Linked DNA regions of Astyanax mexicanus. The protein of the gene in region 1 interacts with the protein of each later gene in a pairwise test. Links are inferred from orthologs where the notes say so. Each region holds a gene or a part of one and is shown on either strand. Other genes may lie near its edges.

Region 1 (11,608 bases):
GCGCTGTCAAGATCTGCAGACTCAAAGATGATGAAAGGACACATGGCACTGACGGACAGACAGACAGAGACCGGGAGACCCCAACCAGCTGTCTGTTTCGAAAACACCTCTCCATCCTGAAAGAGTGAAGAACAGCATTATCAAAGCTTTTCATGTAGAGGTGGGCAACATGGTATTTTATAGCTTAATTAATCCAGTTTAATTAAATGAATTGCAGTATATTGTTCACTACTATCACGAAAAATATGATGTATTGTGGAATTTTATAGTGATTTATTTATATAAGAATGTAAAGCTAATGAAAACTTACGGACAATAACATCATTGCAATGTCCATCATTCTCCCCATATAACTTCATTTCTCTTACACACACACACCTACCTGCTGGCTCCCGCTGTAGGTCAGGTAGCTTATCTGGTTGTTCTGAGCGACTTTGGCTCCCACCGAGCCGTCACCCGTCACCACACTAAGCGCTCCAGCAGGAAGTCCCGCCTCCATAAACAGCTGAGCCAATAAGAGTGCAGGAGGTGCCAGTTTTGCACCAGGAACCACAATTACAGCATTGCCTGCAGAACGGTTACAGTAGTCAGTATAATGTATATAATACACTATAGATCAAATATAGTATATTTGTATATTTTAGGGTTCAAATGAAAAAAAACTCACCCATAGCCAGAGCTGGAAAGACCTTAATCCATATAGAGTAGAAAGAGCAGTCCTCAGAAACAACCACTGCAATCACACCTACAGCACACAAGTTCAAAAGGTAGATTACTTTTTATTTATGCTGAAAAAGCATGGATTAAATCTCATAATTAAAACTTACTAATTTTTTTCTTCTTCTTCCCTCTCTCGCTTTCTCTCTCAGTATGTGCAGCATGGCACGAAAGCCCTATAATTTAATATAGCTTGCATATTGTGTGGCTCTTGTCAACATCCTTATTTAATGATGTCAAAAACACATTACTCTAATCTGACCTTTTTTTTCAGTAAAACGTAATCTAATGCATTACTATTTCCAATCCAGTAATCAGATTAAAGTTACTTATCCACTTTACTGTGCGTTACTATTTTTGTCATTTTCTTTAGTAAAAACAAATTGTAGCATCTGGCTGAACGCGCTGAAACGAAGAAGGAGAAAGACGTTTACAGTCGTCGTTTTTTTTTATTAGAACTTCCAATGGTTACTGTCAGTTGCGGTCACTCGAGCTGAACACACACACACACACACAGCAGATGTTTGTTCAGGCGCTACACTTCCATGAAAATCAATTTTTGTCATTTGTGAATCGATCCAGAATCGCCCATGCCCAAATTGAGTATATGAATTGAATTTCCCCCGCCCCTGTTGTCCTTCCTCCAGAAATTTGGAAAAGGATAAAAACACACTTATAAACATAAACACACTATTTTTAATGATTCAAAGGAAAATTTTGTATTGAACTAGGCTTAAACCCAGTTGTGTACAAACACATACACACACACACACAGGGTACACACACACACTCTCTCACACACTTACACACCTCGTGGGGTCCACTCAGGCATGAGTGTGTCTCGTAGTTGAGCCCAGCCAGCATAGTACTGGGCCAGTCTGACCAGAGCCGAGGGGGGGCAGGGAGACTGGCACAGATCACACAGTTCACTCACACACTGAGTGTATCTCTGCAGAGTGCTCGCCAACCTGCATCACACAATAAAATCTTTAACACATTTAACCATAGTATACCGGCATGCCAATAGTCATGGGACAGGACAGTGCATTATGTCCTATAGAGGCTAAAGAATGCTGCACTGACCTGAGCAGGACTTTAGCTCTACGATGGCCACTCAGTTCACCCCAGGCTTTAAAACCTGCAGCTGCAGAGGAAGCACAAGATGAGATATCTTCATCTTCAGCACAGACCAGACTGCAGACAGTTCCACCTGGAAAGGGGAAAAAAACTAATCAGGCAGTGTTAGTTTTCATGTTGCATGCGCTTAATGTGAAAATTTTAAGACATTTTTTCATTTTCATGAAATTAGACTCCAATGTCCTCCTATAACTATGTTTAATGCAATAGCAGTTTAATTTACTGATGTATGTTTTTTTTTTTACCGTATTACCGACTATAAGGTGTACTTTTGCTAAAATACAGCATTATAAGGGAGTTTCAGTGAAGTTTCTTTAGCGCTGAGGCTGAAAGCAGCAGCATTAGCTTTAGCTGCTAACCGCATCGCTAGGCATTTCACTGTTCAGAGGTGGGTATATCAGACTGTAATCAGCACGTTTACTGTGATAAAACAAGCTACATCGGACAAACCGCTGGCTAGCGATAACCACCGCTGTCTAGCACTGCTAACCGGGGCTGGCTATCGCTGCTAACTGCGACTAGTGCTCACCCATGTACAAAATACTGGAATTTTAAGCTTACTGTAAAACGGAAGTGCTTTACTCATCCAAATAAACAGTTTTCGTGAGAGAAATCTGTGTAGTTTAATATCCAGCACTCGTTTGACTTTAAAATAAATGATTTTTTTTTTTAAATTACAGTTGTGTTTACTAAGATGTCCCCCCCCAGTGGCAAGACCTGCTGAATTAGACACATGGCGACACCCTTGTTCACTTCAAGTATGCATTCTTACTAGTGTAGAGAGAAACCATTTAAATAACAACATTAATAAATGACAACATTAAAATAAAAAAAGTTTACCCACCTTTGGAATCAGTCACAGCATGTGTCCGTCTGCCGACCGGACACACAAACTTCCCATTGGTGAAGAGACCCAGAGACTGAGAATGCTGCTCGAGCCAAGCCTGAGAGCACACACACACAAACACACACTGTCAGACTGATACTCTTAATACAGTTACTGCAATTACTCTCTCCAATCTCTGGCCATCATCTATTAGCCTAAATCATTATTGATCCACTACTGGCCTCACCCAATAACCTGTGCTTCCACTCATGTTTATATACCAATCACACAGCATATCTCATTATCAATTACTACCAAGTACTTGTAGTACTCCACTATCAATCTCATACTGTACTCCATTTTCAATGACTAATTACATAGTACACATTATTAATAATTTCTAATCTCTTAGTACACCTCATTACCAATTATTAATCTCATTGTATACCTTATTATTAATGACTTCTTTTATAGTTATCTCATGATTAACAAATAATATCATAGTATACATCCTTATCCTTGATCAAATATTGTAGTATAGCTGGTCATCAATGACTCATCTCTTGCTGAATCCCATTATCAATATCAAGTTTCACAGTTTACCTCCTTTTCAGTGACTAATTTTGTAGTATACCTCTTTACCAATGATAATGTAATGTTTTACACCTCAACATTAATACAAATTTTTAGTAAAACCTTTTTAAACGAGAGACAGTCAGATCTATGGGGTTCCACTAGGAAATGCAGCATTTTTACTATATATGAAATAGTCTTACAGGTTATGTAAAATATTTTATATAACAAATGGATTGTTATTTATATGGTAATATTGCATATATAACCCAAACGAAAGACTATTCTCTTAAGATCATATAATTGTTTTAATCACTACAGGGCACGTTATTTTATGGTTTTATAGTTTATGTTTATGGTTTAATTATTGGTTCTGTTCATGGCTCTTTCCATAATCCACAGGTTTGTGGATGGCACCACACTGATAGATCTGATCAAAAGTGACAATGAAGAAGGGCATACAGGGACAAGCTGTGAGAACATTTATCGTATTTTACGCACTATAAGGTAACTATAAGGCACTTAAAATCCTTAAATTTTCCCAAAAATCGTCATTGTGCCTTATAATCCGGTGCACCTTACGTATGGCTCAGGAACAGCTTTTTTCCTATTAATTAATCATTGTGGGTTTTTCTTTCTTTAATAGAAGGGTACCAACAATTTATTTTGAGTAGCCACGTATACAACCTATAGCTTCATTTCCTATAGCGTAAATGAATACTAAAGTCATCCAGACTATGAAGGAACACATAAGGAATTGTGTAGTAAATTTGATAAGTGTTAAATAAACCAAAATAATCTGTGAAGTATTTAGGTGCTCTTATCTGGGGTGCTGTTGTGGTTGTGGTTTTTGAGGCTGGAAACTTAGATACTCTTATCCTGTGCAAAAGTGGAAACTCTTGATTTTCCTTTTCTGGTGGTGTTCCTGATGAGAGCCAGTTTTATCATTTTATCAAAGTTTTTGATAGTCTTTTTACCCCTGCACCTGAGGATACTTTTAAAGTTCTTGATTTTTTTTTGTTTGATTAACTGACAGTCATTTCTTTCTTTACTTACACAGAATTACATGAAATATTTGTATATTTGTCTGTAGACTGTCTGTCTGAACTTTACACCATTCCACTTCAGTAGCTACTGTTTAAACAGTGTTATTTATTAACCCACCCGTATTCAGACAGACCACGCCCCCTTTGCTTGGATTTGTTACTAGTCGCCGGCCTCCTGCTGCAGGATTGGCTAGTAGTCATGGCTCTGGTAAACACCTCAATGGCTCCGCGCCGGAGAATATGAACAATTAGCCAATCACAGGGCAGAGGGTCAGGCGGGGGCGGGACGTGCATGAAAACGGGCGGGAAAAGAAACCAAGCGTAGCCACATTCACTGGTAGGGTCACATGCTTTCTCTTGTGAGGTAAATTAATTAGCTAATAAAGTCACCTGCAGGCCATTACTGACTCTAGTGGAGACTAAACACAGTGGAATAACACAGAGAAACAGCTGTAGTTAATAACTGTGTATACATGTATTAAATATGAACTTTTCTGATAGGAGAGTTAGTTATCTTACCCGGGCAGCAGCAGCAGTGCTGGAACTGGGCGCTCCGGAATCCATAGACTGAAAAATGTCGTACACAGTGTTCGAGGTGCTACTTGCCATAACACGAGTTTAGGTAAGCCAGAGTTATTCAGCTCAACCCGCAGTTAAACGTCCTATATAAGATCCTCTCTGGGCTAAACTGGTTTACTTTGCTAGGTTAAGCTACCTGGCAGCTGTGAAGGCTGTGAAAATGCTTTCAGTTATAAGAGAGAATTGAAAATATCCCCCTGATAAAGGTAGTTAAACTAATAAGCTAAATAGGTAGCGTTAGCTAATTAGTGAAAAACCAGCAGCTTCAGAAAGAAAGTTGAAGAAAGTAGCTGGTCTTCAGTGTTGAGCAGCATGCAGTCCTCTCTGCTGTCATTCATAAACTCCTCCCTCACAGCTTCTTCTCCCTCTTACTGGGGTTTAATCTCAGACTGAGCTCCACATTACTGCCACCTACATACATACACACACACACACACACACACACACACACACACACACACACACACACACACACACACACAAAACATACCAGCAGAGCTACCATTAACTACTGTTTTAATAAAAGGAGAGATCTTGAATTTGATTGTGGGAAAAAAATGGAAATTATTAAAATTCGAATAAATAATGTTGCTTTTCCTATCTAAACTAAAGTTAAAGAAATTCATTATAAAATTGTAAATGACATTTTTCCATGCATTGATTTCAAAGCCATAAATTCACAGGTTGACGTATGCTTTTCTTAGCTACTGCAGACAATGGAGGTTAAGAAACAGTTTAATGTGCAGCATGCATATACAACTCAGATAGACCTATTGTATTTCACAATAGAAGCAAACCTTTATCAACTACTATTTTGGCTAAATGTTATATACATAAATCATCAATTTAAATTGTTTAGCATTTAAGAATGATTTGGCTCTGTACTACACATGAGCGGTAAGAATGCTTTTAAACTGTGCTCATTACTTGAGGTATATTTGAAATGTTGATCTCTTGCATGTGCTTTTATTTGTATTTTAAATTTTCGTAATGTATTTCATTCTATGTCTGGTGTTTTTTGTTATTATCCACTTGGCTGTTTTATTGCAATAACTGTAGTAGTGATACAGCTGCTCACTATTACTCAAATTAAAAATAATTAAAAAAAATAATTAAATACATTTGAAGTTATAGAAGCATCCACATTGATGAACAGAAACAGAAAGGAAACAAAATCTTAAAAGCAAGTAAATAAAAGCCAGAGTCACAATAAGTGTCACAATAATGCCAAAAATACTTCCCAATCATCTCAGCCTTTGAAAACATTGAAAATATAAGAGTGACCCACCACAGCAATTTTTGATTATTACATATTTAGCACTTAAAGTAATAATAAAGCTATTGGTTTTCATTAAAGAGCAGACACAGCTTTTTGGGCAACTTTATGGGTGAATATTTTTATCATCTTGAGGTTTGAGTGACACAAACATTACATTACCCTTACATACATCCACCTTAATCTGTGTTGTCCAAAAAGGCATAGCTCCTCTTAAATAAAAACGAATACCTCGAATTTCTCCATTAAAACACGTTTTAAACGGTACTCTGATCTCTGAGCTTTGCCTTTTGAGACTGAGTTTTAAATAAGGATAATAGTGAACGGCGTACTGGTGCCATCTAAAGGCCAGAGCGGATAATGCAGTAGGCCAAAAACACGAGATGTAAAAAAAATCGAATTCATTATCTAGGCTAATGATTTAATTATTTTTTTCCTAGATAAATTTGATAAAATTTCCCCTTCCACAAAAGCTTAAGTCGACTCATGTAGGATTTTTTCATGGGCTCCACTAGGCAAAGAACTTCATTTTAAAAATCTTTATTTCTTAATAGATGAGCGAAACATGGGCACAATCTAGCTTCTAAATCAAAGCTCATTATTTTTGTTCTATCAATTAACACAACAAAAATAATGAGCCTCTTCTTTATATATGTAGCGCTCTATAATGTTTTGTGATAAAGTGCTGCTGTACTAATATACAGCTCTGAAAAAAATAAAGAGACTACTTCAGTTTCTGAATGAGTTTCTCAGATTTTGCTGTTTATAGGTAAGTTTGAGTAAAATTAACATTAATGTTTTATTCTATAAACTACGGACAACATTTCTCCCAAATTCTAAATAAAAATATTGTCATTTAGAGCATTTATTTGCGGAAAATGAGAAATGGTTGAAATAATAAAAAAGGTGCAGAGCTTTCAGACCTCAAATAAAGCAAAGAAAACAAGTTCATATTCATAAAGTTTTAAGAGTTCAGAAATCAATATTTGGTTAATTTAACCCTGGTTTTTAATCACAGTTTTAATGCATGTTCTACTCCACCAGTCTTACACATTGATTTTGGATAACTTTATGCCACTTCTGGTGCAAACATTCAAGCAGTTCAGCTTGGTTTGATGGTTTGTGATCATCCATCTTTCTCTTGATTATATTCCAGAGGTTTTCAGTTTGGTAAAATCAAAGAAAAGAAAATACATTTTTAAGTGGTCTTTTATTTTTTTCCAGAGCTGTATACTTGTATACTTGTTTATGGTTTAGGGATGAATAAAGTTCACAAATCTGTTTTTCAATTTTTAAAGTCAACTAGTTTGTACATGTAGGTTTATTAATTTTATTATTGACTTTATTGAAAACATATGTATTATTATTATTATTATTATTATTATTATTATTATTATTATTATTATTATTATTATTATCGTTATTATTATTATTATTATTATTATTATTATTATTATTATTATTATTATTATTATTATTATTATAGTTATTCTGAAATCGTCCTTCACACTCCAGATCCAGTAGGTGGTGGTAATGTTACGTTCGTTGATCTGTCAACCGCCTAAACTCCAAAAGCAGAAGAAGAAGCTGCACTCATTTCCTGAGTGTGAGTCCTGGAAGAGAACTTGTTGAAGTTCGATGGAGGTTTAGGATTTACCACCTGAACAGCGGAACACCTGAACAGAGATATAAACAGGCGGGTAAAGAGCGCAGTAAACAGAGTCTCATTTACCATGGCGTGTGAAGAAACCCCAGGTAAGCTCGTTTTAATCTATATTTTAACTCTGAGTGATCTGAATATGAATATGATTAGTTTTATTTTGTTCAATTTAAGTTATTTCTTCTCTTCCAGATGATCAGATTGGAGAGGCACTCTTAATTGGGTGAGTTAACTAGGTTACTTACTGTGTTTTTTTGTAATTTAGTTAATTATTGTCTGGTCTGTTATATGTTTTTACTGTTGTTAAGTATCATTAGATTAAAGGTAGATTAAACTACATGCTACATGCTGAAGTTAGATGTTAGATGTTATTTGAGAACTAGGCTACAGTCAAGGGCAGATTCAAGAAAAGGCCAAGTCATTGTCAAATCTTCATCCAGTCGGAAGTGAAAGTAGAATTGGTTTCAGTTTCTAAATCACACTATATTGCTGTTCTAATGATTAAGATCCGGTGATTAAACATCAGCAACAGGTAAATAAAGTCTCATGGTGCCACAAAGCAGATTCCTGTAAATCCAGAAATGAAAAAATAAACATAAACAAAAGAGATTTAAGAAAAGGCATATAGTTAAAACCCACACAAAGCTGAGGAGAAAACAAGACTAACAGGCCTTGTGACTCATTATCTCAAAAACACTCACCCGTGTTTAATAGTGGATAATTGGTTATGTAGTGGAAGATTAGTGTATTTGTGATGGGAGAGTTAAGTCGTGTTTGTTTGTTTGTTTTAAATGTTGCTGATTGGATAATAAATGGCTTTGGCATCCTAGCTGTTAGTTGTCAGATCAGACATTGATATTTAATTTGAATTTGTGAAGCGTAAGAAATGCCAGAAATGTTGAGTATGTAACTAGTCTGAGGCGGGTATTAGAACGCCCAAACAGTTTCCAGCAGAACGGCCCATTGGATTGAAAAAAGTGCAGCTACCGACTTAGATCTGACTCTTTACAGCCTAATTAAACGGAGAGAGCCAGAAGGTAGCACAGACATGAGCGGACCCTGCAACATTGGTATTTACAGTCATATGAAAAAGTGGCAGGCCAAGAAAAATATCAGAAAGGCAAAAGCACACCTCAGGCGACTCTGTTTGGTGCTTGCAGAAATGGCTTCTTTCGCATCACTCTCCCATACAGCTTCTCCTTGTGCAAAGTGCGCTGTATTGTTGACCGATGCACAGTGACACCATCTGCAGCAAGATGATGCTGCAGCTCTTTGGAGGTGTTCTGTGGATTGTCCTTGACTGTTCTCACCATTCTTCTTCTCTGCCTTTCTGATATTTTTCTTGGCCTGCCACTTCTGGGCTTATCAAGAACTGTCCCTGTGGTCTTCCATTTCCTTACTATGTTCCTCACAGTGGAAACTGACAGGTTAAATCTCTGAGACAACTTTTTGTATCCTTCCCCTGAACAACTATGTTGAACAATCTTTGTTTTTAGATGATTTGAGAGTTGTTTTGATGAGCCCATGATGCCACTCTTCAGAGGAGATTCAAATAGGAGAACAACTTGCAGTTGGCCACCTTAAATACCCTTTCTCATGATTGGATACACCTGGCTATAGAATTCAAAGATAAATGAGGTTACCAAACCAATTTTAAGTCAGTAAAAAGTAGTTAGGAGTATTCAAATCAATAAAATGATAAGGGTGCCCATACTTTTGCACCGGTCAAATTTTGGTTTAATGCATATTGCACATTTTCTGTTAGTACAATAAACCTCATTTCAATCCTGAAATATTACTGTGTCCATCAGTTATTAGATATATCAAACTGAAATGGCTGTTGCAAACACCCAAATATTTAGAACTAAAAATTATTAATATTAATAGGGGTGCCCAAACTTTTTCATATGACTGTATAAAGTCCACCAATTACAAAATTAATCAATGCAGCCAGAAAAGCATTCAGAAATTAGTCATTATTAAACACACTTATTCTCAAGCTTTTAAATGGATATATAAATGTAAATAAAGGAATATATGTTAGGTTGGCAAAGCCATTTCTCATTTTCTACAAATAAATGCTCTAAATGACAATATTTTTATTTGAAATTGGGAAGAAATGTTGTCCGTAGTTTATGTAATAAAACAACAATGTTCACTTTACTCAAACATAAACCTATAAATATAAATAGCAACATCATTTAAACATATTTAAATCCCACTTTTATATATACACACACAATGGAGTAAGTGCCACTGAATTAATATGATCTATAAATGTAATACATTTTACCCATGTCTATATGTTTCTTAACAATATAGTTGGGGTGTGCCATATTGTTACAGATGCAACAATACCTCGAAAACCTTTTAATATCCTGAACGATATTATATCCTGAAACATTGTGCCATATATCCCACCCCTAATTATCACATCAGGGCACCACTGTTTTTTGCTTTTAGAGACACATTATATCTCTATTATCATTAATTTTACTTTAATCCTGGATATATGGTGATATTTGGAGTGCATTATTAGTATCATGACATTCTGAATCATTGACCTCTGTTACTAATCTGATTATTTTCCATAATCAGTGTTTTCTCATATCCTGAAAATAACATGAAATATTTTGGTTTATAGTTGTAGGGCCATATCGCCCACCCCTGCAATATAGTACAGTGGGTTAACTTACATTCTGTCTGTTTTTCAGTGTGATAGAGGATCAGGTGAAGAGTGTAAACGCAGCAGGAGACACTTCTTCTCTGGGTATTCCAAAACCAAAGCCGCTATCCCATGCTCAGAATCAGATGCTTTTGAACCAGCTGGCAGACACCATACGAGTAATTGGGGACAGACTGGATATGGATACTGGATTTAATGAGTAAGTTTAATGATGTTTTTCCAGAGCTCTGCTCATGGGAGTGTAGTATTATTTAAAGATCTCACACAGCACTTGGTTTGGTTAACAGTTAACGATATTAATCAATTAAAGCACATCCACATGCTGGCTGGTGGTGTCCAAAAGAAATCTGGATTCAAGTTTTTTTTAAGGTAGCTCACAAAACGCACTAATGCATTCAGCTGCTTTAAGTTTCACCCATTGCTAATGTGCAAAGGACCATCCACAGCTTGTCTATATTTTAGAGTTCTTGAAGTGCCAATAGAATAGAACTCTTTGGAGCCGATAATCATGAAGCATGAACATATTTACCTCAGCATTGCTCTTGTCAGTCTGCACAGTAGAGACAGGTACTCCAACAAAAGCAGAATAAACTTTTTTTTAAACTTGTCATTTTAGTCCCAACACTTTTGTCCATATAGCGTATATGCTAGATTCTTCAAAAGATCTTGTTTCCTTTTACTGTACTTTACACATAATGTTTACCAGCATTTGTTCTAATGTGACCTGAATTTCTTAAAGTATAAACTCTCCTATCTTGTCTCTGTATTTTATCTTCTTCTACCATCTGTCCTCCTCTCTCAGCATGATTGACGGATTAGGACGTGTGGCAAATAAAAACAGTTTCTGGAAGCTTGTGGAGGGAGTCTTCAGTGATGGCCAGATCAACTGGGGAAGAATTATTGTCCTGTTCTACTCTGTTGGAAAACTGGCTGCAAAGGTCCTGCTGGTTTTGATTAGAGTTAAACTCACCTGTTCTTTATAGGCTTCTGTTTCATACCTTTTGATGATTTTTATTTTTTTGTTTTCTTCTCCAGATGGTACTCGCTCATTTGCCTGAAGTATTCTCAGAAATTCTGAATTTAAGTCTGGACTACTTCAGGAGAACGC
Region 2 (11,700 bases), on another chromosome or scaffold:
AAACTAATAAACTAATTTTACAAGTTAAAAAGCATTTAACAATACACATTTTAATAAAAGTTTTTTTTGTTTTGTTTATCTAGTTCTGACACTAATCAATAACAACCAATTGCTACAACCAATAGTCATTGTGATTTGTGTTACATCAGGATATTATCCTTAAAATATTGGCAGTAAACAAACACAAATGAACTGCTTACCTCTATTTATCTGATGTCATTTTAAATTTGATATCACTATTCAGAAGTGGTTCTAAGCTCTTACATATAACTGAAACAAGCCTTAAAAAGTCTCTCCAGCACTAAGGCTGGCTGCAGCAGCGTTAGCATTATCCGCTAACCGCAGCACTAGCTTTTTTTATCACCGTTCAGAGGCAAGTATATTTGACAGTAGCCTGCATGTTTACGGTGTTAAAACAAGCTACGTGAGATAAACTGCTAGCGACTAATTCCCTGGGTGTTCCTTAGGCTAGCGTTATCGGCCCGCTAGCATTACAATTAGCAGATAATGCTAATGCTGCTGCACCCAGCCTTAGTGCTGGAGAAACTTTACTGAAAACTCACTCTTTGACAAAAAAGGTAAATCTTAGCTTACTGTAAATAAACAGGAATGCTTTACTCAGCCAAATAAACATTTTTAGGAGAGAAATCTGTGTAGATTAACATTAATTGATAATGTGCCTTATAATCCAGTGCACGGTAGTTCTTAAATGTTTAATCTGTTTAATAATAACTTTTTTATAAACTAGTCAACCTAAAACATATATTGTTTGACTATGCATGTAAAAAAATAGAAAAAACAGAAAAACACACCTGCCCACTGCCCAGTAAGAGCCAACGTGCGATTAATAACAATGTCGATTTCAGTGGCTCCATCCTGTACAGCCATGCGGACCTCCTCCAGACGAGTCTTTAATGGAGTCTGACCGGCAGGGAATCCGGTAGCCACTGCAGTCAGATATGAAATATGAAAATAAAAATCAAGGCTCAATCTGACTAGGAAATATATCAGTGTGTTATATATTTAATGAATAGGAACGTACTGCAATGCTGTGGAAAGCTCACCTGAGGCTACAGGTAGGCTGGAGTTAGCCGCTTTCAAAGACTTTACAGCATCAGCCACGCGAGACGGGTAGACGCACACTGCAGCTGTTGAAATACCTTTTAATGCAAACAAATACACAGATGTTACATCAGGAAAAGCTCAGTGACTTTTATATGTTGATATGAGAACATGTAATGCTTTCGGGCTATTGTCTTACACTGTTATTATAGAATATGACTAAAGAATTGCTCATGATGGTCACTGACAGTGTTTATAAAACACTTACTGAAATAGTTTGTCTCCATCTTGTGGACAACTGTATAGTTGCACAGACAATGTAATAGCTGAACAAATAAAATATACTGCACATTAATGCTACTAAGCAACGACCCAGGAAGTTAATTTTGTATAATGTAGTATAATTATGTTATCAAATTAACATCGACATTACATACAGTATTGTGTATATGTATAACTATGCTATTAATGCTATCATTATATCAATGACATTATTTGGCCTTAAACTTAAACTTATAGGTATTCCACTGATATTATCAATATGTCAGTCAAAAAATTATCCTAAAATTCCAATAAAACTGGTAATCACAAATATTTTTTATAGAATAATACAGGGCCCCTGGGGTGAAGTCACAAAAAAAATAATGCATGGCCACCATTTATTAATGCGTGCAAACAAGGTAATGAAGTCATGAGGATAAATTCATTGGGACGATTTCTTAAAGAGTGGAAACAAGATGTTTAAGTCGTGGGGACAACTTACATGACCAAGACTTAATTATCTTGTTCCCATGCCTTAATAAGTTGTCCCTACTACTTAATTAGCTTGTTCCCAATGCTTTAATAAGTCATGGCCACATTAGGATCTTGTTCCCACACCTTAACTCTTTGAGGCCTGAATAATCTCAAGTGATAGAATGTACATAAAATGTAAAAATGCTGTACTACTGTAGTCTTAGTGCTTTTGCAGTGGGCGGGGCCAAATTACTGTTTCATTGGTTAATAAACTTGTTTATTGGCCGGTTGGTGGTCTATTCTGATGTGCAACAAAACATTTTATAAAAAAGAAAATATGTGATGTCCATTTTTTAACATGATGCTCCTTAGCATAATATGTTACTTAAACAAAAATAGTTTGGGTCACAAGCCTATCAATAGTGTATATAAGCATTATTTTCCTATACATATACTTTAGGAACCTTTATCGTGCATGTCCATGCTTTTCAGCAGGTCTTGGCGGACTGGCTGTACGGCCTTCATACAGAGCCGGTGAACATTGGATGGCGTGTCGTCTCCAGCGAGGGTCGTAAGGTCGATACACGTTACGGCCTTCAGGAGCCAGGCTGCCTGTTAATCGAAACGTTGCAGGTCACAAGTCTTCAGCAGAACAAACTCTTTACTTCAGTAGACACAGAGTTTAGCATTAGCCTTGACCTACCTGCCACTGTTTCTTGGCCACTTTACATCCCTGAACTTGTTGTGCCCTTTTCAGCACAGCCTGGGTATTAACTCTGACCTTTGACACCCACTCGAGGTCTGTTAAAGATAAAAACAATGTACATTAAGTTTTTGAATGGGCTTTTCAAAAACTGGCCTCTATCACATCCTGTGGTAAATGAATATGTTCAGATACCTGTAAGTTTTGTTCCGAATACATTGTACTCCAAAAAAATCACTGGATTCTCTGAATTAAGAGATGGTTTAAGAGTAGTAATTAGAATAATCCAAGTTTTAAGCTAATGCTACAGGGAACTAGCGTCCCAGCGCAGCTGCAGAGATCGGCGGGGGACTCTTTTTGGCGTAACACCAGCGAACTCCAGCCTTATGTTTACAGTTGTTACACAAAGCTGATCCAACTAATGAACTAACTGCCCTCACTGAGGAGAGCTGGGAGTGTTAAAGCAGGAAATCACTAACCCAGCAGCACAGAATTGCCCAGAACCAGCTTTTAACGCTGTAACACGTTTTACTATTCACCGTCTTTATTATGCAGTGAAATAAATTGAAGATGTTTGGTGTTTCTGGCTCGTTGGTTTAGAAAATTAAGCCAAGGTAAGAGTTATCTCTGTAACAGCTGTCCGTGGAAAAAACATACATTAAGCCTTATTTTAGACTCTTGGTTATTCAGTTAGTTAGCTCTGTGGTTTGGTCCTGCTAGTTTTCCTGCTGTATCACTAGGTTCGCCTCAGTGAGGGCACATCGTTAGTTGATTAGTTAGTTGTTAGTTGACGATTTGAATCAGGTGTGTAAATCCCAAAAAACAGTATCTCAGAAAATTAGAATATTATATAAAAACAACAGGTACTTGGACAGTGTGCCAAGTCATAATAAAAAGTTGTCTCCAAAACATCACTGATTGTGGAAATTTTACACTAGACCTCAAGCAGCTTGGACTGTGTGTCTCTCCACTCTTCCTCCAGACTAAAATTTACTGATGCTCAGTGATGGTTTGGAGAGACATGTCATCTACTATTGTTGATCTATTGTTGATCCATGGTGTTATATCAAGACCAAAGTCAGTGCAGTGTTTTCCCAGAAAATCCTACAGCACTTCATGCTTCCCTCTGCTGACAACTTTTATGGAGATGCGGATTTTAAGATAAGGATTTTATTTTCCAGCAGAACTTGGCACACTGCCCATACTGCCAAAAGTACCAATTGGTCTTATAAAATATTCTCATTTTCTGAAATACTTTTTTTGGGGTTTCATTAGCTGTAATCCGTAATCAACAATCAACAACACTAAAAAATAAACGCTTAAAATAGATCACTCTGCGTGTCACATCTATATAAAATATGAGTTTCACATTTTGAACTGAATTACTGAAATAAACTAACTTTCCAATAATATTCGATTTTTTTAAGATGCACTAGTACATTAAAACATGTCATATTAAAAAATATATTTAAAAAAACCCTCAAAACTGTACATCTGCATAGAACCTATGATCGCTAACAGATCGTGTGCATGAGGACTGGGTCATGTGTAACTTATTAAAAGGGGCCTCATGTGAGAGGAGGATGCAGTGAAAATTAAGCTTTCTGTTATCTCTTAAAATTCTGATATCTCGCCAGTTTCACCTTGATTGCCTCATTTGTTGCTTCACACCCACTAAAGATTTTATACCGAAGCGAAATTACAAACAGTGGGGAAACTGTCCGTTCACTTCTCGATATAACAGTACAGCTACAGTCTATGAAGAATCTACTGCTGTTGCTGGTACAGTACAGACACGTGCAGCGCGAGCCCACACTGACCCAGTACTGCAGTAAAGCGCCCAGTGAATCTGAAGCTCTTACCCAGATCCATCCCCGGGTTTCTGGAGGACATGCTGAAGATCAGAATCAGCCCAAACCCAACCAGAGAAGATTAATCCAGCCTCACCTGCAGAAACACCTCAAACAGCTCGAGCTGCTCACACTGCTCTACTTCCTCATCTCTCACCCTATCGTCACCAAACAGCTCTCTGTCTGGACCAATCAGCGTGCAGCTCTGCAGTGGGCGTAAATCACGTGTTCAACAAACAGAAAAACTGAAGGCTGATATTTGTACTGTACTGTTTTTACTGCAACTAATAACCCGTTTAAAAGTTAAACTAATGAACAAATAATAATTTACATAATAATTAACATTTTCCCCATGTAGATACAGTTCTAAACTTTTGTCTCAGCAGTACAAATACTTCTTTACTTTAATAAAATAGCATTTTTTGTTATCTATACTTTAATGGAGTAATTATTATTTTTCAGACGATTTTTCCACTTCTACCCTTTACATATTCCCTTGATTATCTAAACGTATTGCTCCTTACAAAAAAAAAAACATAATTACTATATATATTAATATATTTCATTTCAGTTTGTTTTCATTCCAGGTGTTCGGTCGAGACATGCTACCCATCAATTTGTGCTACTTAGCAGCTCTGCGCATGCGTTACTTCTCTCTTTTTTGTTTACTGTTTTTACGTGTTTTCCTGATATTTTTTTTCTTGGGAGCATCATAGAATCTAAACTCACTGATATTTCTTTGCTTGAGTTAGATATTTTACAACCGTGTAAACAAATAAAATAAAATAATAATACAAATACAAGAAAAAATAACTATAAAACGGCTTCTAATCACCTCTATTCTCTAAATTTTACTCTGATACAGCGATGTAGATTATTCAAATATCTTATCGATACTTTTACAGCGAGCAAATTTACTTTTTTACCTTTAAATACACTAGGGTTGCACGGTTTGGCAAGGTTGCACAACTCGACAGGACACCGGCTTCTCAACGTTCAAAAAAACCCTATCCAGATTAGTGAATCTGATTGTGGTTGGATGTATAGAACTATAAACATATACCCTTTCGTCACCCTATTGGTTTATACGCAATCCATCACACCTGCACATGTAGAAAACACATTATAGAAATAAAGACAAACATTGAATGAAAAAGTGTTGAAACTTTTGGCTGGTACTGTATGTTTGTGTGTATCATCAGTGGCATCGTTTTGCATTGATTCATCTGAACTAATCCATGTCAATAATAGTAACAAATATAATGTGCCTAAAATTATTACACAAAAACATTATGCTAATGTCTTCATTGAGAACAACCATAAAAACTCTTAGTGCACAAGCATGTGAACCCTTCTGTTAATTATTTTAGGGACAGAACCAATAAAAGAATAGACATATGCATTTTAATGCAAGGAATCTTAAGCATACAAATGACATCATTATGCACAACTGTAGTTTTACAACAAATAAAATCTCTTTTTGGGTTTGCTCGGTTGAAACTACAATTCACTGCTGTCCAATAAAAAAACAGGCATATCATTATTTATATTTTTTCCAACATCATTGATCCCTCTAACTGCCCTGAATACTATGTAAATAAATATGTACGAATAGAAATTCTATAAAATTACATGGAAATCCTTTTTTATTTATTTATTTTTTACATTACCTTCTATTCTATGTTAAAACATTTTTTTTATTGAACAGCAAAAAAATGGACTAGGCTACTCACAGATGATACCTGTGTTTTGAACTAGTTACAGACACCCAGGAACTTGAAAAATGTATTGAACAATCCCAATTTCTTTAAACCACCATTTCACCGCTGCTCACTTAATACAACACAGAAAGAAATAAAAAAAAAAATGTATGTAGTCATACACATGCTGCATCACTGTCCTTTGAGCTGCAAAGGTATTGCACGCTGAATGGAAATAAAGACATACAATAAAACATATCTAATGATAAAAGCTCTCTGCTGCATGAATAATCAAGACGATAAGAACCAAACACATTAAATCACTCATTTTAAGCAAAGCAAACCAGCTTCTTCTGTAGCTTACTCTGGTAATCAAAAACAATTAACACCATAATATGAAGATAATGACAAGAAAATCACACATCTGGAAAACAGATTTTTTTTATGAAAGTCTCCTAAAAATTATGTACCAGCCTCAAAGTATGAATTCAATGAACAAAACTATATTTTCTGAAACAGGACACAAAAGGACACATTAAGCACATTACTTACTCTGGGTCAGTGTAACATTTTTCAGTTGAATTGTCTGACCATTATAGGAAATAGAGAGTAAAACCTCTTTCGTATTTAACTCTTACTATTTGCTGTAGTACAGAAGAAATAGGTTTTTATACATTTTTCCAATTTTCTGAAAAAAAAAAGAAAAAAAATCTTGTAACAAAAGTAAGTTGCATTATACCATCACATTTTGTTACAAGATTTCAATTTTAAGTTTTATATCTTAATGTTCTATGTTCAAATGTAGCCTGAAACAGTCAGAAAATTGAAGTGATAAACGTTACACTGACCCACTCTGCCCTGTAGATGGCACCAGTAAACTTAAATTTACCATCATCTCCTCAAGCTTATTGTCCATGCAGGGGTTTCTCAAAGTTCAAACATGGCTGAAACTATTAAAAATAAAATACAAATTCTAGCCGTTAAGTAATATAGCCACAAATCTGTCCAGAAACCAGTAGCTGCTAAAGATATTTTTGATATTGATTTTAAAGAAAATTAGATACACAACTTCTGACAGACATTACGCTTAAGAGGCTTATAGTGAGTGGCATATCATGACACACATAATATTTTTTCTCATAATACTAATACTAAATGACAATAACCCCAAAATATAAGAGCTGTCATTCTGTAGTTCTGGGTAAAAGTAAATTCTGATTTTTGTAGGGTTCTCCTTGTGCTACTTGCTTATTGTGGCTGGTCTTCAGTAATCTGAGGGGCTCCTGGAAAAAGCTTTCTGGCATGGGCTTTTGGAGTACTGCTAGCGAGAGACAGGCGCTCCAGTTGGGAACAACCCAGTGGGGATTCCACTGCAGCCGTCTGAAACGAAAAATAAAAATGTTACTAAGGCAATGCAGCACCACAACCTGACCAACTTGGTCCTGACATCATAATCACATGTTACACAAGCACAAGCAATCCGCAGCCAAACTTATATGGAAGTCAATGAAAAAAAGACTTTATTCCAATTAACTTTGGAGCATTTCAATTGGTCCATCTGTCAAAAAATTGTAACACAATGTAAAGCACCACTGGACTGCTGGATTATATCAAAAAAGTAGATAGAACATTTTGTATGACATTGATGGCATACAATACATGTTTGAAGGTTTGAGGGCATTTTTCCAATTCAAACTTCACCCATTAGGGACAAAGATGTGTAAATATATGTAAACAAGTAGTCTAATTCCTATCGAGAAGTACTGCCAATAGAATAAGGCTCTCTGGCGTACATAAGCATGAACCTACCGGCACCATACTTAACCTTAGGAATAAAATAGAGGGACATTGAATGGTTTATTGGTGCACATTTTGGTGCGTTTAGGTTAATGCCTGTGTGAAACAAGTCCAAACAAAGGGAGAAAACGCTCCAAGTAAATGAACTCATCATCGATTCGGACCAGAGAAACAAACTAAAGGTGTGAAAACGCCCTAAGAGAATTAGAAACACTAACACAACAAAAATCAAGCTGCACGTTTGAAAGCACGCCTATAGACTGATAAAATAGCGCCCTATATTTGCCTATATTTATAGTCAGGGTTCCATATAGTGTAAAGTGTAGCTTCAGGTATTTATTTGCAACCCCTCTTACCTTTTGTTGTTTGGTTGGTGTATCGCAGTTGTCAGACTTGTTATGACGCTTGGACACACTTGGACTTCCTGACTGGAAGGTGTTGTTTCCATAAATCATATCTTCCGCAGTATTGTGGGTGCATACTTGCTCTGCATACTTGCTCTTTGTGCTACAAAAAGCCTGGGACGGTCCTGGTGAAGACCATAGAGTGGACTGACCTGGGAGAATGCTGGAGCCTCGCTTTGGAGTTCCCAGATAAGACTGGCTAGTCTGAGTGTACAAATCGTCCCGTGTCTGCTTTAGCTTGCCGATCATATCTGTGAGAAGGCCAGCTAGTCTAGTGCTGCGTTTGATGACGTGTCCACGAATGGCGCGCTCTAGGCCACCGATCTTCGCAACAACATACACACGCTGCTGACCACGTGTGACTGCTGTGTAGACGTGTTTCCAGGTTTGACAAATGCCATTCCCAACTACATACACAACAGTCTTCTCCTCTGAGCCCTGATAAAGAAAGACAAAAGCAGGTTTAACATATCATATATTAACATATCACATGTTACCCCTATGATTTATTAATACTGTTGTAGCTACAAGGCTCACTTAAAATGCTTTAATTTTCCCATAATGTCATCTAATGTGCATCTTATAATTCAGTGCGTCTTATGTATGTATTCTACCAGTCAGGTTGTAAGGAGCAGTAAAGCCACTCCAAGCCACTACACAGGATTTTCTGTTTAGTTCTCCAGCAGTATTAGCATTAGCCGCTAAGCACTAGCCACTCGGCCATTCAGAGGTAAGTATTATCAGACCGTAGTCTGCAGCTAACCTCAGCTAGCACTGCTGGAGCATCATTAGCATTACCCACTAACTAGCCATTTGGCCATTCAGAGGTGTGTAGTATCGGACTGTAGTCTACGAGGATACCGTGTTAAAACAAGCTATGTTGGACAAACCACTAGCTAATATCGCCCTTGTTAACCGGAAAACTCAGGGTTCCTCAGTGTAGCGCTGTCGGGCAGCAGTTAATGCTAATGCTGCAGCCTTAGTGGAAATCTAAGTTTACTGTAAATAAACGGAAGGGAAGGAAGTGCTTTACTCACCCAAATGAACAGGGGAGAAATCTGTGAAGATTACGATCATAAATGTTTTTTTGTTTTAAGAATTACAGTTTTGGTTACTTAGCTTAACTTAGCTTAGCTTTACAGGTCTTGCCCCCCAGCTTAGAGACTTGCTGAATTAGAAGGGAAACATGGCAAAACCCCTGTTCCAAACAAGTGTTGCCTAATGCGCCTTGTGTATGAAAATAGACCAGAAAATAGACGTTTATTGATAGTGCACCTAATAATCCAGTGCGCCTCATAAAAATACAGTGCCATATATACAGTACTGTGAAAAAAGACTTTAAGTACATGCACTTAAAGCAATAGTTGCAAAAACAGGTGCACCCAGAAGAAAGTGTCTGACTGTGAACCCATTAAAACGGTAGATAAAGGTTACCATGATTTTTAAAAATTTACTGTTATGGGCAACGTTTATGCCAAACATCTCAGCATCGCCATTCTGCATCACTCCATGAGAGCCTAGTCCTGTCAGTTGATTCCTTTTGGGTGCAACTATATTTTGACAATGTGTTCACGTGTAAATATTGTATTACTTAAGAAGGAGGTGCATAAAAGCAAAGAAGGACACAAGATGTCGACCTGAAAAGTGTGGATGGTTCGGGCCCAGGCGTGGCGTAATTTGCACTCTCTCTGCAGCTCCCTGTAGTCAGCTTTCAGCACCACTTCACCAGTCTCATCAGCCAGCAGCAGTTGCCGTCTCTTACTGCCCCGTTTACCAGCGTCCTCTACAGTGCGATCCTGCCATTAACAACACACAGACAAATCCTGAACCAATCTGCAAGATCCAAACATGAACTAAAGATGTTAAACTTTTGTCTTCAAACATTGTGTTAATATTTTAAGTTACTGAAAATACTGAAGGCTAGTAAAATAAATGCAATTGTGTATGTTTTTTCGTACCTCTTTAATAAAGAAAATTTGCCCATTGCACAATCGTGTTTTTGCCTGCTTATTCTTTTGCGTTTCCGTAGTATCTTTCACTTGCTCATTCTCTTGTGTTTGCGCAGTATCTTTCGCTTGCTCTTTCTTTTGCATTTCTTTGGTATCTTTCTCCATGTCTTTGATCTCTTTTTCTTTATCTATATCTGTCACATAGCCATTCTTTGTGCAACAAACTTTATCACCAACCTGAAAGTTTAGTTTTTTTTTGCAATCTCTGAAAGAAAAAACAAGCAAGTTAATAAACAAACGAATAAGAGAATTGATTCAAATCTAATTTACATCACCAATTTGAACAATAATGGACAAAAATAACAAATAACAACTTAATGTTAAATTAACTTACTTTGTAGTATGATCTGAATAATGCTTGCAGCAAAGCTCATTGATCAAATCACAATCTCTCCTGTTTAAAAAAATAAAAAATAAAAATCATATCTGTTACAGCATGTGCTGAATGTTTGAAATGGCTAATTCAGATCAACAGTTTTTTCTTTAAGTCTTTAAGTCTATCTGATTTTTTCCCTTTGGCTCTTAACCAACTTTAGATGTCTTACCTCATAAAAGCAACAAACTGTGAAGACCGATCATCTTTTAGCCCAGGGGCTGGTCTTTGCAGCAATTGTTTTATAGCCATCTGTAGATCTAAGATAAAAACAACAAGTAGGAAACAAATATGTAGTAATGCAATGAAACAAATATGTAGGGCTAATATGTACACAAATATTTAATTATATATGATGATGATTTATATAATAATTTTATATGATACAATTTGCACATTTGGAACAAACACAATGTATTTTTTTTTAACGACTGTCAGTTTTGTAAAGGTTAGTTAAAATCACTCTTTACCGTCGTCATTTTCTTCTCTTGGAAGGAGGATGAGAATGAACCTCTTGTCAGGTGAAGGCACTCTGAATGTCTCACTCAGGTCCACAACCTCATCAAAATCCAGATCATAATATGTTTTCTTCAGACCCATATCTGCAATTCTGAGACAAAAAAGGCAATTCTGTTAATTTAGGACAGTTTACATTACTAAATATTGTCCTTAACCATCCTAGAACATCCGCATTTTAACTTTATGAAAATCACTTGGAACAGCTGTTAGTAGTAATTTAATTTAATGTGGTATTAAAAAGGCTTACAATCCAGCGTTGCGGACAATGAGCTCAGATTCAGCACGATGATTGGTGCGCATTTCAATGGCCCATCTCACCCTCTGGAGACTTTCAAACAGGTCGTTTAGAGTGTTCCCTGGATCAATGCTGGGCAACTGCCTGATATCTCCTTCAGAAAAAGAGGTAAAGAAAATGTTGTATTTACTATGTATGCAACATATTTCCCTGCATAAAATAATTTAGAAAGGTCTAGTCTAGTGTCCAATAGGTGTGGGCAATATGGTTCTGAAATAATAGCACATACAAGTTTGTGCCATAACCATATTCA

Evidence for each region.
Region 2: the proteins of aldh16a1 (region 1) and dera interact in binary tests that used the Homo sapiens proteins (3 or more experiments, as listed by UniProt). The link is inferred for Astyanax mexicanus from reciprocal best matches to the Homo sapiens genes ALDH16A1 and DERA.

Annotation. Positions count from the first base shown.
Region 1 is NC_064426.1:20,716,532-20,728,139, forward strand, and holds the start of aldh16a1 (aldehyde dehydrogenase family 16 member A1), read right to left. Parts: upstream 5,249-11,608; 5' UTR 4,909-5,248; coding exon 4,819-4,908; intron 2,799-4,818; coding exon 2,699-2,798; intron 1,928-2,698; coding exon 1,801-1,927; intron 1,686-1,800; coding exon 1,528-1,685; intron 746-1,527; coding exon 668-745; intron 568-667; coding exon 383-567; intron 117-382; coding exon 1-116. Other genes in the region: apoptosis regulator BAX, read left to right, coding at 7,888-7,909, 7,989-8,037, 10,529-10,699, 11,303-11,438, 11,536-11,608.
Region 2 is NC_064409.1:10,719,691-10,731,390, forward strand, and holds the start of dera (deoxyribose-phosphate aldolase), read right to left. Parts: upstream 4,521-11,700; 5' UTR 4,394-4,520; coding exon 4,363-4,393; intron 2,599-4,362; coding exon 2,501-2,598; intron 2,410-2,500; coding exon 2,262-2,409; intron 1,161-2,261; coding exon 1,065-1,160; intron 948-1,064; coding exon 813-947; intron 1-812. Other genes in the region: helb (DNA helicase B), read right to left, coding at 7,299-7,430, 8,204-8,689, 9,889-10,047, 10,210-10,465, 10,595-10,654, 10,806-10,893, 11,104-11,243, 11,400-11,541. UniProt on the Homo sapiens protein: Catalyzes a reversible aldol reaction between acetaldehyde and D-glyceraldehyde 3-phosphate to generate 2-deoxy-D-ribose 5-phosphate. Participates in stress granule (SG) assembly.